2 linked regions of the Drosophila melanogaster genome follow. The protein of the gene in region 2 interacts with the protein of the main gene of each other region in a pairwise test. Each region holds a gene or a part of one and is shown on either strand. Other genes may lie near its edges.

Region 1 (8,130 bases), on a different chromosome or scaffold from region 2:
CAACCATGTCTCTGCAGTCGGACGCCGTTTTCCAAAAGATCATCGATGGACTGAAGGAGAACGAGGCCAAGGCCAAGGCGGTCAACGGTGTGTTCCTGTACAAAATCACCAAGGACGGCAAGGTGGCCAAGGAGTGGAGTAAGTATCAGTTATCCATCGCCCAATGGAGCCCATAAAAACACGCACCACACACACACACACTCCCAACGCGCAGCACAGGGGCGTATGTACATAGATGGGCTCAATCCGAAGGGGACTTTCGGACTCTGAGTTGGTGATTTTCCTACCCCCCAGTTGCTAAGCCCCCTTCTGTTGGCGCTCCTGGCCAGTGGAGAATACTAGTACGTCGTCTTTGCGTGTGTGTGTGTTTTGCATTTTGTAATAGTCACAGTTCAAAGTGCACGGCGTTTGTACTTCGGCACCAGCTGTTGGCATTAACAAAAGCCACTGAATTGCCTATTTGCACGATTTAGAGAATATATATTACAGCAACAGAACAACATACTTGCCATATATGCATGTATGTATGCCACTTGTTGCACAAGAAGTCACTTTAAAACGTTGTCATATATACATACATTAAATCGTGCTAAGTTAAATCCGCTAAGTTATCTGCTAGTTTTAAGAATCGAATGTCTACTTTGGTAGCATATTCCAAGTCCAATGAGCAAATGAACAACCTATTAACGAATACCACTTTCAGCTCTGGACTGCAAGAACGCCAAGGCCTACGAGGGACCTGCCCAGGGCATCAAGGTGGACACCACCTTGACGGTCGCCGACGAGGACATGGTTGACATCGCCCTGGGCAAGCTGAACCCCCAGGCTGCCTTCATGAAGGGCAAGCTGAAGATCGCCGGCAACATCATGCTCACCCAGAAGCTGGCGCCGCTCCTGAAGACCGACGCCAAGTTGTAAAAAAGGAGTGATCAACAATAACCCAGCCCAGTTAGCACATTCCTCAACGAGACAGTGTGTGTGTGTTCCCTTTTACACAATTTTTTTTTTTTTTCGTGTGTGTAATTTGTAATCTGTATTCGTGTTTTTGTTTCACCACATAATTAATGTTATTTTTGTACGGAAAAACCCGTCTACAAAACTAGAAAATAATACATAAGGCGAAAACGACAAATTCCTGTGCACTTTGATACTACAAATGGGTTTTATCGGTAAGTGGGTAATCGCTGCGGATTAGATTACAAGAGCGGGCAATCTTATCAAGCTCTTGTAGTCGATTTCTTGGCTAAAACCTTTCGAACTTCGACTTCACTTCGAACCACAAAAATAGATTCCCCCACAACTGCCTGTTGCCAGATTAGCCTATAAATTGTTTGTAATCTTTGAAAACCTCTAAAAATCCGTATAGTAGCTTTCTCAACCAGATAAGCTTGATTTTAGGTTTGGTAAGTTCATAAATCAGGCAGTCAAAGAACTCAAACAAGTCAAGATATTCCCTATATATTTATAATTTCCCTAATTGCCTCCTAGCCAATCAGTCAAAAGTTTGACCCAATTTACCTTGGGAACAAAAGCCAAACTTGTGTATTGAAAGCAGAGTCCGCTTGCTAGCAGTTCGCTGACCACTGGAATCACCATGTGCACTCTGAGTGGCACTTGGCAATCTAAAATATGTGCATGCACTCGAAACAACCGATAAGAAGTCTAATAGCCAGCCACTTACCTTTGCGTTGCCCATCTGCTCCTTCCAGATCTTCATCGAGAGCACAAACTCCATGTGCTTCATGCGCCAGAGTGGCTTGAAGAGCACCTTGTACGTTGGCATGGTCGACTCCAGCATGGCGGCCAGTGGTCCGTGGACAATGTACTGCAGCGAGATGATGTTCCAGCCAATATCACCGTTGAACGGTCGTTGAACAATCACATCGAGATGGTTTAGAATATCAGGATCATCGTACTGGGCATTCGTACAGCGCAGAGCGGAATCCAACATGGAGGTGAGATCGTTAGCATATATATCAAGGCCCGGTCGCTCCAGTTCGTTCCTGAAAAGGCGATTTTCAAGTGTTACATTAGAAATTGAAAAGTTTCAATTACATTCATCAAGAAAACTAACTTCATGTTTTCAATCAGAATGCTAATAAAATCGCCCTGGCCCAACAGCAAGTAGCGCCGCATTCCGTGCAAATGATCCAGCAGCTTGTGTGGGCCCACCATAATGTCGAGGACATGTTTGGAGGTCTGCTGGTAGCACGTTTCCACGGCCGCATGCCAACTGGTGTCCGGTGTGTACGAAAAGATTTGAGAGGCTGTAGATAAGAGCATGGAGCATTTAAATCATTCGATTTCGCTAATCCAATTTGAAGAGCATGCCTTAACTCACCACTAGATTCCATGACCTTCATTAGTTCGTCGCGCTCCTTCATCATACCCTGCTCCTCGCAGATTTCTCTTAGAAAATTAATGGATTTGCCCGTCATGAGTATCTTATTGGCCATATCCATGGGCACAAACTTGGGCAGCATTGGCAATCGTAGGCGGAATTTATCGTGCCATAGCCGATCAACGCCCACATCTTTAATGGACTTCACAAAGAACTCTCTATGCATATCGCTAATGCCGCCCTCCAGAATCCATTTGGAGATCATGCGCACCAGTGGGCCACAAATGGCAGTTAGGAGATCCTCCACCAATTTATTGACCATATCGTTACCGTTGTCAAGGAAATCATAAACGGTCGATGCCAAATCACCGCCCTTCTTTACCTGGCAGGCGTCGGCAATCTTGGTTAACCACTGCATCCGGTGCAGTGGCTTTATATACCAGGCGAGCAGCTTGAATAGCGTCATTTCATCGCCAGCATCGGGCCCACTATCCTTTTTCCCCTTGTTTGCAATTCCATTCACCGAGGCCTGCCGAAAACGCTGCATTTCATCGTGAAGCATTGCCACTTGCCCGTGAAAATTCGCCAGCTCCTCCTTGAGTTTGGAAATCAGGGCCTGGCCCATGCTGCCAATGGCATTGAAACCGGTCGATACATCCGAAAACTTGACCACTCGATCGTGGTAGTAGCCAAGTTCGGAGAGCCGCAGCAACATGCCCGCTTGGCCGGTGGTCAGGAACTTGATGTTCTGCTGATCCAGCTTGAAACGGCCCGTTACCACATCCTTCTTCAAATACTTCCCTTGAACGCCGGTGAAGGAGTAAATGGCACTCATCACTATATCATGTCGAGACTCGGGCAACATCTTTGTTGCATCCAGGTAGTTGGGCAAGGACTGTTTTCTCAATCCGATGCTGGACTGTGTGGCATCATAACTGTGGCTTGCTGCTGCTCCTGTTACCGCTGCTGCTCCTGTTACCGCTGCTGCTCCTGTTACCGCTGCTGCTCCTGTTACCGCTGCTGCTCCTACTCCATTTCCGTTGACCACTCCCATCTCATTCAGACTGGCTATGGAGGAACTTATTGAGTTAAGACGACTGACCAGAATCTGAGTGAGATTATCGCACTGAGTACGTGGATCTTCGCTGGCAACTGCCTTTTCGGCATCCGAATTGTCGGTCATCGTAAGTAGATGGGTCATTAGCGAGTGCCTCATGTGCGGATCGCACTTGGTCAACGTGAGTTTCCTGTACAGCTCATTGAAGTGATCCGACACAGTTTTGCCCTCCTCCTTCTTATTCCGGGCGCTCAGCAGTTTCATTATCTTCTGGACACATTCGCGCTCAGTCAACATATTTGAGTCCCGAATGACCCGACTATTGGCGGCAATCATTTTGCTTAAATGATCCATTGCTTTTTCTGCAAAAGATTGAACAAAGTGCATTAAAACAAGGGCAATGAAGCCTACAATTATGTATAGTGTCTAGTGTATGTGTTGCATTACGTATCCTTAGATTCATTGATTTGGAAATTGTACGTATTGAGGACCTTGAGGATCTAAGAAACTTGCTCATACTTTTATAGTTAAGTATATGTGATCAATAGTCATTTAAAAACAATTCAAAACTATCTACTTTCGGATAAATATCTTTGAATACTTTGAATTGTTTGTGGGATATATACATTAATTTTGAACATTTACGACTATGCAACACACTTTGGCAATGGTTATTGCTACATTTAATCTAGAACTATAAAAATATAAGTATATGTATTGTTAGTTGCATATCTCAAGGACTCTCTGTTTGAAAATGCCATGAAATATGTTGAGTTTCTGGGATTAACTATAATCCTGAAGCACGTGGTCGATTCCCAAGGGTGGAGGCCTTCTTCCCGGAATGCCAGAGCAGTCCGTATGCCTTGCGTGCCTGGACAGCCAGTGAGTGATTGCACATTCCCAAATCTCACCGTGAACTTCGGGCATCTGCTTGCCCTTGATGCAGATGATCATCTCGTTAATGATATTCGATATATCAGTGGAATTGGTTGCCACATCGATGCCGGCGATCCTGTCCTGCGACATCCTGGTGCACTGAATTGTTCATAAATATCCAATCAAGCGCGCGTTAAACAGCCGATTTTGGATGGCTTGGTAATTGCGAAGTGGACAACAACTGTTGGCCAATGGCAAACGCACAGCTGTTCCCTGGCTATAATACGGCGTGCAGTCACTGGCAATTGTTCGGGATGCGTGAAATCTTCGACAGATAGGACAAAAACGCATCCAATTGGCGCGTACTTCATACAAATAATTTATTAAAATTATTTAGTGCAGTGTTACCGAATCTGGGAAACTTGACAAGGCAAAGTCCTAGCCGCTGGCGGGCACACACTGGCCGAAGGTGCAGCGATCTGGCAGCGCTCGTCTGCAATAGGCTATGCCATTTTGATTATCGTTCTACATTTTACTATAAAAATGTATTTCTGTCGGAATGTTACTGAATGTAGCATTTTTGTATAACAGTTATGTTTAGAAGTGCAGCTTTCAGCTTTTATGTTAATTCCATTGCAAACATCTGACAGCTCTGGGGCCGCAAACGTTTCCAACTCTCACTCGCCTGGTCACACTGTCCGTTTTGCATTTGCAATTGCTTGTAAGCAAAAATGGTAAACTTTAAAATTGTTAATATTTAATATAAAGGCTGAAGACATAGATGAGACTGACCAACTGCGTTTCGCCATGGAGCACACCAACGGCTGTAATTGGCTACAAGTCGTGTTTGATACCTACTGCTGGGGGAGTTAAAGCTTAAGGTGCTGCAAGGATGTCTTGGAATTCCAATGGACAAGGACTTTCCTTCGTCGCAATGGGCCATCAGCAGCTGGATGCGGTGGAGCAGTACCTGGAGCAGCCAACCCAACTACCTAGCAATATGTGGGCTAATCCTGAGCCCCAGAAATCAAGCTGGAACCACCGAGTGAACCGGTGACCAAGAAGGATTCTTCGCCACCAGATTTGAACGCGAAATAATATGTGAAATAATATATAATGTATATAATGTGTATTGAAACAGAAACCTCCGGTATTTAATTTAGAACATAGTTAAACTCTCATCCGGTTTACCTTACTCACTTCTATACGTAATTGCATTTAATATCCGGAGATTTCTGTAACGAAAAAAAAGCAAAATAAATGTTGGCCCGATCCTAAATTATTTCCAACTAAATAAACGAATTTGCCCATTGAAAACGCATTAAAATATGTTTTTAATTTTTATTTTTGATGTATATTTTCTGCTTTTAACACATTAGTTTATATATATATATATGTAGATATATATATTAAATATATATAGATGTGTGGGCGCGCATTTTTAAGAATATGTCGAATTTTGTTTCTTCATGAAGTGTGAACATTTTAAAATATAAGTGCGGCGAAAACAAAGTCTTTTTCTTATCATATAAAATGCAGCTTTTATTCAATCAAAAAAAAAAAAAAGCAAGCAGAATAAGATGAATCCGTGGGTAAATATACGTATAAAGTAAAATTAAGCTTAATTATGTTAGTCTTCTGACACACAAAGTTACAAAAAAATTAAGGAAAATCATGTTTTCGATGCGCATAGGAATATTATAAATGTTTTTCTCAATTTCAAGTCAATGGAATTTGTTTTGTGTAATCATCAGAGTTTTGATTGCGTTGATAGCATAAATCATCATCATTGGTTCGTTCCAAATACAAGTTATTCAATCAATTCAATCAACCCAAGAGGTGTGTGTGAGTGTGTGTGTACGAGTGCCTATAACAGTTTCATGTAAATAATATGCTTTGATTTCATGTGGCATAATGACGGTCGTGCTAAGTACGCCCACTCGCATCCTTTATGTGAGATCCTAGCCACAAAAAGCGACCCATCTCTGTTCCTGTTGCTCCTGCTCGTGGTTCCCCGCATACTTTTGGCTGGATTCTTCTTTCTTTTTCTTTTTTTTGTGATCGTTTCACTCATATCTCCTTTTTTAACAAATATTTAAAATATACTTTCGAATTACGCTGGTAGTTACATGTAGGTAAGATATACGTTGTAGGTGTTTATGTAGTATAATAATGAATATAGTTTAAACGGAGATCAAATTCCGATTGATTGTTTGTTTTTTTGTGGTTTTTTTTTTTTGCTTGTTTTTGTTTTTCGTTTGTGTCCTTATCTGGATTCTGAGGATAAGTTCTTTTTATCAAGTTTGCGACAAATTCTTCATATCGTCTTTTGTTTCTTATAAATGGTGTATTTATTCTTTGCGTTCGTATGAATTTTCGTTTTTTTTTTTTGTAATTTGGTGTTTTTTTTTTTGTTTTTGTTTAATGTTTGCTTCTCTCTTGTTGCTCCTCTAGTTGTCATTGGGTGGCTGGGGGCAGTGGTCATATAAGCATGTGCAGCATATAACGTCCCCGTTGTCCCTATGATTTAATCACGCATGGTGAAGGTAGTCGGCTTCACGTGGCCGCCGTCGCCCTCCGAAACGAAACGCTTGCGTCCGCTGCAAATATAAAACGGGGAAAATTGATCAGAAATCGGTAACACAATTCGAGTAGTAGTAAATATAATGGCCCTTGAAGTTCGGTAAACAAATCATCATTTTAGCCTGATACACATTTGCTATTGTTAAACAATGTTTTTTTTCTTATTTTTAAAAGACTTTGCAGTGGTGTAGCTTTTCTTAAACAAAGAAATAAATGCATGTGAAATGCAACTGCATAATACTATCTCGTTCTCTTTCTCTCTCTCGCGCTGCCTTACGCACTAAGCAATTACAATTATGCAATGCATTGCCGCTAAAACAAAACAAAAAAAAAACAAATATAATACAAAGAACAAGAAAACAAAGAGGAGAAAACAAAAAACAAGTTGCGAAATGCTTGGCGCAAATTTGGTAACAACAATAACAAGAACAACAACGAATTTGCACAAAAGTTCATTCAACCGTTGACCCTTTTTCGCTCTCTCTCTCTCTATCTCTCCCGTTGGGAGTCTCTCTCTCCCGTTGAGGTTCTCTCTCTCCACTGCTCTCTTTACTGCAACAGCTGTGCAAAAGTAGCGGGTGAACCAAATGCAGTGGGGTGGTGAGAAGGTGGGGAGAGCGAGGTAAATTAAAACTAGTTTTATATATTTAAAGGGGGACACCACCAAGCTGGCCAATCAAAGGATTCTGGCCTAGAAACAAAACAAACAACAACAATGGCAAAAACCAGCTGGAGCCTTAATTGTTGCTACTATAAATATGTGACCAAGTGGGGTACTAAATGCAGAAATATACATACATATCTATTTATAAACACAAACACACACACAAGTGCACTGGTGTAGAAGAGTCAGTTAAAATTGAGGCAAGATAAGCGCGCGATCAGCAAAGCAAGTAAATACAAGAGTTAAACAAATAACAAAATATATAAAAATAAATCAAAAATAATAAAGCAAAAGCATAAAAGAGCGGAGACCTCAGAAAAAAACCACAGCCAGTTGTAGCGCTGTGCTGGCAGTTTGGCTACTTTATAGATGAAGCATTTGCCATTTTATTACAACTACGATTTCTTTAAGCTAACTAACTAAAAATGATCAAGAACTTGATTCTATACCATACTTTATTAATTTATTTCACATATATTCTTAAAGCGAATATATTGGAGTTATTAGAATATAGCTGGAAAACAGCCAGCACTGGGCCTCATGAACCGTTATGTCTGAGTCTCTTGGCATTGAGTTCAGCTTTAAAAAAAAACCAAAACAGAATGAAAA
Region 2 (8,138 bases):
CAGTTATGAGGCAAGATGGCAACTCGATTTGGTCTATCATTTGCATAATTAAGGCCGATTAGGGTCGAATCATTTGCCATATGTGCGCATGCATAAATCTAAATCTGAGCCAGCTCAAGGTTACGGCTATGGCAAAACTGTTTTTTGACTTGAACTCGGCTTGCATAATTCCCGTTCATATTTTTTATATAATTACGGGCCAATGAAAAAGTATATAGAAAACAAAACAAAAAGATACGCATCATCAAATGTCAACCGAACAGCTTCAAACAGAAGCTGGCCGAAAAGTGTTTGGAAATGGAAGTGGGAATGGAACTGTGCCAAAAGCCCCCGAAAGCCGCCAAAAACCGAAAAGCAAGTTGCATTGTCAGCTTCCGCATAATTATGCCGCCTGGCCGAATATGTTTTTCTTTCCCCTTCCCCCCCCCCCTCGTTTTTTGTGGGTCTTGTGCCTTTTACCATAAAGTCAGCGTCTGTTTCGGTTTATGGGAATTTTTTGTGTGCTATTGCTGGCTGCTTTTAACTTTTGCTTTCTTAATGATTTGCTGACACAACCCGCCGAGTGCGACTCTGTTGTAAGCTCGTTGTCTCGATCTTTTTGTAGGGCGTCAGCGTTTTAGTTTAAATTGACATTGACAGTTGTTGGCCACCTCTCTCCACCATCCTCTGCCAGCGGTGTGTCAGACAAACAGCTGCTTCTGTTGGCCGATAAGCATCGGGGATTGGGGGAACCTGTGTCAGCACCTGAGTCAGTAGCACACCATTTGGCTTGATAATGAACCCATTTCCCGCATATATCGCTCGTCTGTCTGACAGCGACATTGGCTGCGAGAAGAACTGGAACCACAGGGCGTATGAGTGACGCAGCCAACCCATTTCCCAGACAGACGCAGAAAAAATATGTGGATCACACATAAATCGGCCAAAATGTGACATAACAAAGTTCAACTGCGAACATTTTGCCCAGGAGATAATAAATTTAGCCGATACTTCGCCGACAATTCCGCTGCAAGTTGCAGACAGCGATCAAGTGGCGGTGGGGATTACGTAAAGTGTCTGTGACCTGAACTTTTTGCATTTGTATGCCTGTTGGCTGGAAAAGGGCGAGCGAATCTTTTGGCCATTGTTTTATAATGATAAAACAATGAATGCGGTCTGGGAACCTGCACCTTGAGTCGCTAGTCCGCTGTTGAAAGCACGTCAACGCGAGTTGAGCTGAAGAAAAAACAGCTGTGCAAATTTGGCTAATGGCGAACAAAAAGATATAAAGTGCGGGCCAAATGTCAAACACTAATATTTGAATGAGACCAATTTAAATTCTAGGTTCGCTGACATAATCCATCGAAGATCATGGCTGCCAAAACTGGTTTCAGGGCCGTCGCCTAAATGGTTGTCTTAAGCATCTGTTCCTGAGCATATTATTCATTTATGTATATTAGATGGTTAGCCAAGACCATCTAGCCGATGGTTCTGCATACAACAAAGACTTGGCCCCCGGTGCGTATACGTAATGTGCAAGAGGAGAGGGCGAGCACAAGAGATACATCACCGAAAACAAGCTTGAAGTTATTTTTTCTACATCTGCCACCCCCCCCCCCCTCTTCACCATACGAAATAATAATCAAAATGCCATTATAAAATTATAAAATGCGCAAATATTGAAAAACTGCAAAAGGCAAAGGCAAGGAAGAGGTGGCAAATAAAAAAAAAACAACACTACGTATACGTAATATGCGAGACTAATTAAATTTAAAGATGGGCAATGACAAGCGAAAAGGCAGCGAAAGAAAATAAATGAAATATTTGCCAAAAGAATAAGCAGCAGAGTAAAAAGCATTGCATTTCGGAACTGAGTTGCTGCTCCTGTCTTTCGTTGTTTCTGGCTTCTGCTCTTGCAATTGTTATGATTTTTTCCAGCCGTTGTTACAACATGCAACTTTGCCACAAACTGCAAAAACAACAACAAGCACTTGCGCTGATTGCGTGCTGCGTCGGCGTCGCAGTCGACTGCGCTGCCGCAGTTGGCGTTGCGGTCGAAGTCGGAAAAGCCATAAACCGCATTAAAATGAAAATGAAAGTGAAATTGTAATTGAAATTGAAGAAGACGTCGGCTAAAATGTTTGACTTCAACTTTGCTTCGATTTGTGTGATGGTTTGCATGGGTTTTTAACTTTATTCCCATTGCATTTGGCTTTTGTTGTTTTTTTTTTTTCGATTACCGCTTGTGGCGATGCAATCATAAACTTTTAGCATTTAAATGGAAATTTTATGGGCTTGCAATAAATATAGAAATATTGCTATAGTTTGGTAAAGAAAACACAAAGGATATAATTAAAAAACTGTTCACTAATTAAAAGTAAAATAAATATTTTACCTATTAGTAGCTTAAGTAATGCTGAGCAGGATTTTACATGAAATGCCAGCGAAATATGAATGAAATTCGCAAAATGATGACTACGCAAAAGGTTAAGCTTAAGTAACACTTTACGGGCAAACAGTTTATGGGTAAATAAAACATAACCGAGTACATTGACTACACCGACACAAACTATTCCATGAATGCTAAACAAACTGAAATAGCAACAACAACTTAGTAAGCTGAGTGGCTGGGCGACTGAAACAACACAAATAAAAATATAAACAAACAGGTTACTCGGGTTTCGTCTTCGCCGATGTCAATGAAAACGCTGAAAAGATCCCCAGAAACAAAACACTCGATACAAGATGAATTGAAAGCGAATCAAACGCCAAACCGAATCTGATGAATGATCGCTATCGAATGGCGCAAATAATGCCTATTTATGGAAAATCTGGACAAAGCCCAGAAGGGCTGTTGTTCCGCAGAATATCAATGGCATAGAAAGTGGCGAATCCATGGGGTGTGGGTATATTGGATTTATAATCGAACAAAGGCCGATCAGAAAGCTCAAAGCTCGTCCCCCTCTCTCACTCTCTCTCTCTCTCTCTCTCGCACTCTCTCGCTCTCACTCTTTGTTGAAATCAAAAGTGCAATAATTGCAGCAAAATCACTAAAATTCACTACGAAATGTGGAGAGCAAAGCGTGGCTGGCAATAATAACTGTAGCAATATTACAAAATCGCATTGGTTCGAGGCTCGCAAAAGCCAACGGAAAACACACAACAACAATGGGATAATAAGCCCACAAAACACCAACACAGCAACACCAACAACTACTCCAACAACTACACCAACGACAACAAGAAGTCGGCACGAAAAGTTGTTTCAGCGAAACAAAAATATAAAACAAAACCCGCTCGAACTGAACTTAAAACTGGGAAACAAGCCCATTTTGTGGGCCGAACTAAAAGCCAGACAAAAGTCTTGTGCACGTACATATGGCACATATAGTATAGTATAGTATAGTATAGTATAGTATTCCCCGCCCAAGAGCCAAGATCCTGCTCTAGAAAAATCTCGTTTTACAGGGACAGCGCACTGCATCTCGCCTCCTTGGCATCTCACACATCCCATTTGGCATTCAGTTCCTCTGGCTCGGTTCCGCAATTAGCAAGTTCAAAACCAAACTCACATGTGTGGTAATAATTATGCCCCGAAACTTGTCTGCAAATTAGTAGGAGCCACCCAACCACTTTTTGGTATATGAGGTAATAATCAAAGATCTACGATAGCAGAAGACCAAAAGTGCTGACTACTTGGATACGGAATCCAACTGCTTCTACAATATATCTATTATTTGTAGGAACACTTCTTCTGCTGATTTAGAAATTTATACTGAGATGAGTGTTGCACTTATGGAAAGATTAACTTTCAAGCACTTCCTGTTGCTTCCTTTCCCATTTTCTAGTTACTTAAAATATTTTTAAGCTGAACCTCACCTAAGTTTGTTCCTGTCTGCTCCACTGGCCAAACAATGGTGGCGAATCAAACGGATTTTCGAGGAGTTTTCAAGTTTTATTCAGCACTTTCATAGGCAGGCACACAGCACTATCTTCTATCTTGTGAGTTGGACTTTTCAAGTTTAAGGATGGATATCTGTTTCGAGTGCTGGACTACGCGACGCGGCGAGCAATTGGAAGGTGGGATGGGGCTGGGACTCGGACTCGGGATCGGATTAGATCGGTGGCCGTTACTGGGGCTAAAGCCGGAGCTATCTGTCCAGAATCGGGGCACAGAACACTCGCGATCGCGAATCGCGGAACGTGGCGGAAAGAAAGACGAGCAGCGATTAAGCTGGAGGCGGTCGGTGAGCGACGATTAAATACGGCGTGAAATTTGCTTGGCAGTGAATTTTTTCCTCTCATTCGCTGCGATATTTTTTGATTATTTTTCGTAAACGAAATTTATTTTTCACTCAATTTCGCCGCATTGCTTTTATTATTATGGCTTGCTTCCCCACCTTCTGGGGGGGGAAGAACACAAAAAAACATAAACAATGAAGAGCGCGACGGCGGCGACGGCGACGTCGACTGCAGCGGTACGATCTTGGCTTTGGGTGCGAGCGGGATGCCGGACAGCAGATTCACTTTTTTATCAACTTTTTTTACTGGCTTTTTTGCACGATGCTATTACGAAAGCGGGCTGAAGCGGGCGGCGGATCGCAAATTGAGCTTTGTTTGGCTGGGGAATTGCACTTTTGAGCTGCCCTGACGTCACGATCTTGCCGATGCACTTATATACCTGATATACATGATACATATATGTATATATACAATATATATCTTCTGATAGCAGACAGTCACTTGGGAATTTTTTGGGAATTTAATTCAGCGACCGTTTCTCGAATTCGAATCGAAATCAATGTCCAAAAGAGTCGGTGGCTAAGTCTTTGACGGTTTTTTGTGGCCGTCTACGGAAACAGGTCGGCGCACACTAAAGTTAACGATCGCTCGGAACGCTCCACGGAGTCCAAAACCGATCCAAAGCTGGCTGCCCGAGCGAGACGGCACCATCGGCGGTACGAGAGCTGAGCGGAGCGGAGCTTTGGGCCAAAACTTATAGCTGCTAGACGATCTGCTGGCCATATCATAACCGAAAGCCAAGCCAAGCCAAGCCAAAGCCAAAGCCTTGAAAGCTCTGCGACCAACGAAAGCGAAACATAAAACACTTGCACTTTTCGTTCCATAGTTCGAGCTTCGCTTTGAGCCAGCTTTCGAGTGGCTTTTGGCCATAAACTAAAACTCGGATTCGGACTCGGACTCACTTGCCGTTGAATGACTCTTTGAGTGGAATGAAAGCCGACTGATTAATGTTGTAAAGACTCGCTTTAATTAATCTTCAGCCGGGCATCTTCGCATTCAAAATGTTACGAGCACTCCGAAACACTCGACGTTGTTTAATTGGCGAGTCGAATGTTAAATTAATTAGCAAGGAAGGTGTCATTTGGGCATTGACATCGCTGACACTTTGTACAGGAAACTGAAAGTTCTGATAGAACAAATCGCATCATACCAGCAGCATTCGTGATCCGAGATATGACAGTGATAAGTCGCTTCAAAAACTCATTAGCTGCATGAGCTATTTTTCAAATGATCTAACATGATGTTTGATCTCACGATAAGATTCTTTGATAAAAAAAAAGTTAGTGTTTCATACAAAGCATGTACTTCAATGACCGACTGAACTTCGAAGGCTTAGTCCGGAAATTCTACCCGATTAAATGATTAACCTACTTTGGCATTCTAATCCGAAATTCCAATCGAGTCGGCACTTCGCTCATTCAAAGCCAAGACAAAGGAAACAAAAACCATTTTTCAAAAGTGTTAGAAAAAATCGTTTCATTCACACCAAGTTCAATGACAGTATTCGCATTGATAAAAAAAAAAAACAATCCATTTGACTCCCACATGAGCACACATACAATTAAATCGAATCGGTCCATTCAAACTGGGCCAATTAAAAAGGTAATTGTCACACATTGAGAGATCGATGTGAAGATCTCAATGGGCCGGGTTCCACATCCAAAATCGGGGCACACTGAACCGCCCACGTAAGCCCGGCAGCTGCGGACGGCGATGATGATAACCAGGACAATCGAGTGCTCTCTGGGTGAAACGGCAATGAACCGATCTCCGGATGACTCAACGGGGGCACACGAGATGTGAGATCCGCAATCTCGAGACCCATCCTCCCACCATCCTCCCCATACCATTCCCATATATGGACTCCATTTACCATTTGCTGGCGGCAAACGGCCCGTGGAGATCTCTGATCTGCGATCTGAGTGCCGCACTTCATGCGACATTTAAGTCGCAGTTGGCGATGGTATCTATTAATGGCTGTAAGTTCCAACCCATCGGCACCTCCAATCCAAACCCAATTTCTGGCCCCAATTGCCGATCTTCGTGCTCAGCGAACAGGTTTCGTTTTGGCAATTGAACCCATTACTTTTATGCGGATTTCGTGCTAATTACCTTGCATTTGTTTACATTACTTTAAATTTGCGCTGTTTATTGGTCAAATCCTGTCCTGACTTTCTCACAGTGCATCGCATTCGAGTTGACGTCGTATGCATTAAATGCTTGACACATTTTACTTGGCTTTTTGGCAATTGTTCTCAAAATTGTTGAACCCCAAACGAATTTTTGTTCCTGCCAAGATGTTGAATGAGTCCCCAAATTTTCATCCTAAATAATAGATTCCCTAATAATACGCTGGTAGCTTCGCTAGCCAATCATTTCGATTCGTGATGTAGTTTTTATGCGGAAGCAATATTTGGTTAAAAAAACCTACCTCAATGATGGTTTTCCGTACAAAATACCTTTTCGGGTCAATAACATAATGACTAAAGGTCATTGAAGAAAATGTGCTTCTCCAGCTGGTCGATTAATCAAATTACATATATTTCGCCGCCCATCTGCATCTGCACACATACACGCATGCACAGAGGTATTTATCCATGTCAAAGGGTCAATGTCAATCTGCCCGCATCGGTAACCAAAAAAAAAAAAAAAAACCAAGAGTTGGGCAACCGCAGAGGAGGTACGAATCTGCCATAAAAAAGTTAACAGATCGTCGAATCCAGCTTGTAATCCCCGCTCTATCCCACAAAGCCCATATGAAAACAGTTAACGAGGCGTCAATGATACATAAAAAAAAAAAAAAACATAAAAAACGAAACAAAACCCATTTAAATATACATCCCATCCCAGATTGGTTCGATATTTATGTGCGACTCTTCCCCCGATAATTTCTACAAAGACAAACAAAGAAAAGCCATAAAACATTTGCATAATTTTCAACATTTCACGCTACTTTGTTTGGAAATAGCCAAGTCCGCCTGCGAAACACATACGAAATGTATGGTTTATTAAAATTGTGTAATACAAACAACAAACTACTTGGCAAACTATAAAGTGGGATAAAACGAGGATTATCGAGCAAGTGAAGCGGATAAACGTAGTCCCGAAGAAATGTTCATAAATCTAAGGGGCAGACAGGTCGAACAAGTTGAGCAAAATTGTAGCCGAATCGATTATATTGTATTATTATTTCCATTATGTCAGGTCGAAGCAACAGTTGCTACTGCTGCGCGGACTACCGAATGCCCAATGGACTCGCTTCACTAGCGCCGTTTTGGCCAAAAGGCGCCGCCATTAATACAATCTGGCCCATAAACTGGGTCTCTTTCTCCCCGCCGCGCTCTGGTCTATTTTGGTTTTGGCCGACTAACAGGCCAAACAAATCTATAAATATGCATAAAGCTGGCCAAAAGACAGGCGCACACACGCGGATACCCATGGTTTCTGGCTTCTGGCTCCTGGTCTTGCGAAAGCCGCGGGCAAAGCCCCCAGGCACTTAGCCCGGCTCAAACCACTGATGGCCGATGCCAAGTGCTGGCCACAGATTTGTTGTCGACTCTAGGAAGTGACAAGGAATTATTTGATTGTCTCTCCGCTTTTCGGAATGCGAGCTCAATCATTATAAACCATTTTCGGTGGGAAACCAGTGCTGAACACCGATGAACACCGATTACATTACAGGCAAATGACCAAAGAGCTCCTCGACTTAAACGTCTTTCGAAATTACTCACAAAACACTCTCCACGCTTATCAACTCAGTTCGACAGTATACGAAACCCTTACATTACTTTTTTTAACTTGTTTGCCATTCTGTTTAAGCAGCGGGCATGCTGCGCTTGGTATACATTTACTATGGA

What was found.
Region 1: the proteins of sona (region 2) and Grip91 interact in a two-hybrid assay, tested with the Drosophila melanogaster proteins (one large-scale study listed by BioGRID).

The regions. Positions count from the first base shown.
Region 1 is NC_004354.4:13,739,975-13,748,104, forward strand, and holds the start of Grip91 (Gamma-tubulin ring protein 91), read right to left. Parts: upstream 4,710-8,130; 5' UTR 4,425-4,709; coding exon 4,310-4,424; intron 3,761-4,309; coding exon 2,342-3,760; intron 2,268-2,341; coding exon 2,075-2,267; intron 2,004-2,074; coding exon 1,682-2,003; intron 1,170-1,681; exon of another isoform or gene 919-1,169; coding exon of another isoform or gene 704-918; intron 139-703; coding exon of another isoform or gene 6-138; exon of another isoform or gene 1-5. Other genes in the region: CG11151 (uncharacterized protein), read left to right, coding at 6-138, 704-918; Pdcd4 (programmed cell death 4), read right to left, coding at 6,802-6,874.
Region 2 is NT_033778.4:23,793,539-23,801,676, forward strand, and holds the start of sona (sol narae), read right to left. Parts: upstream 4,858-8,138; 5' UTR 3,859-4,857; intron 1-3,858. Other genes in the region: CG30177 (uncharacterized protein), read left to right, coding at 8,109-8,138.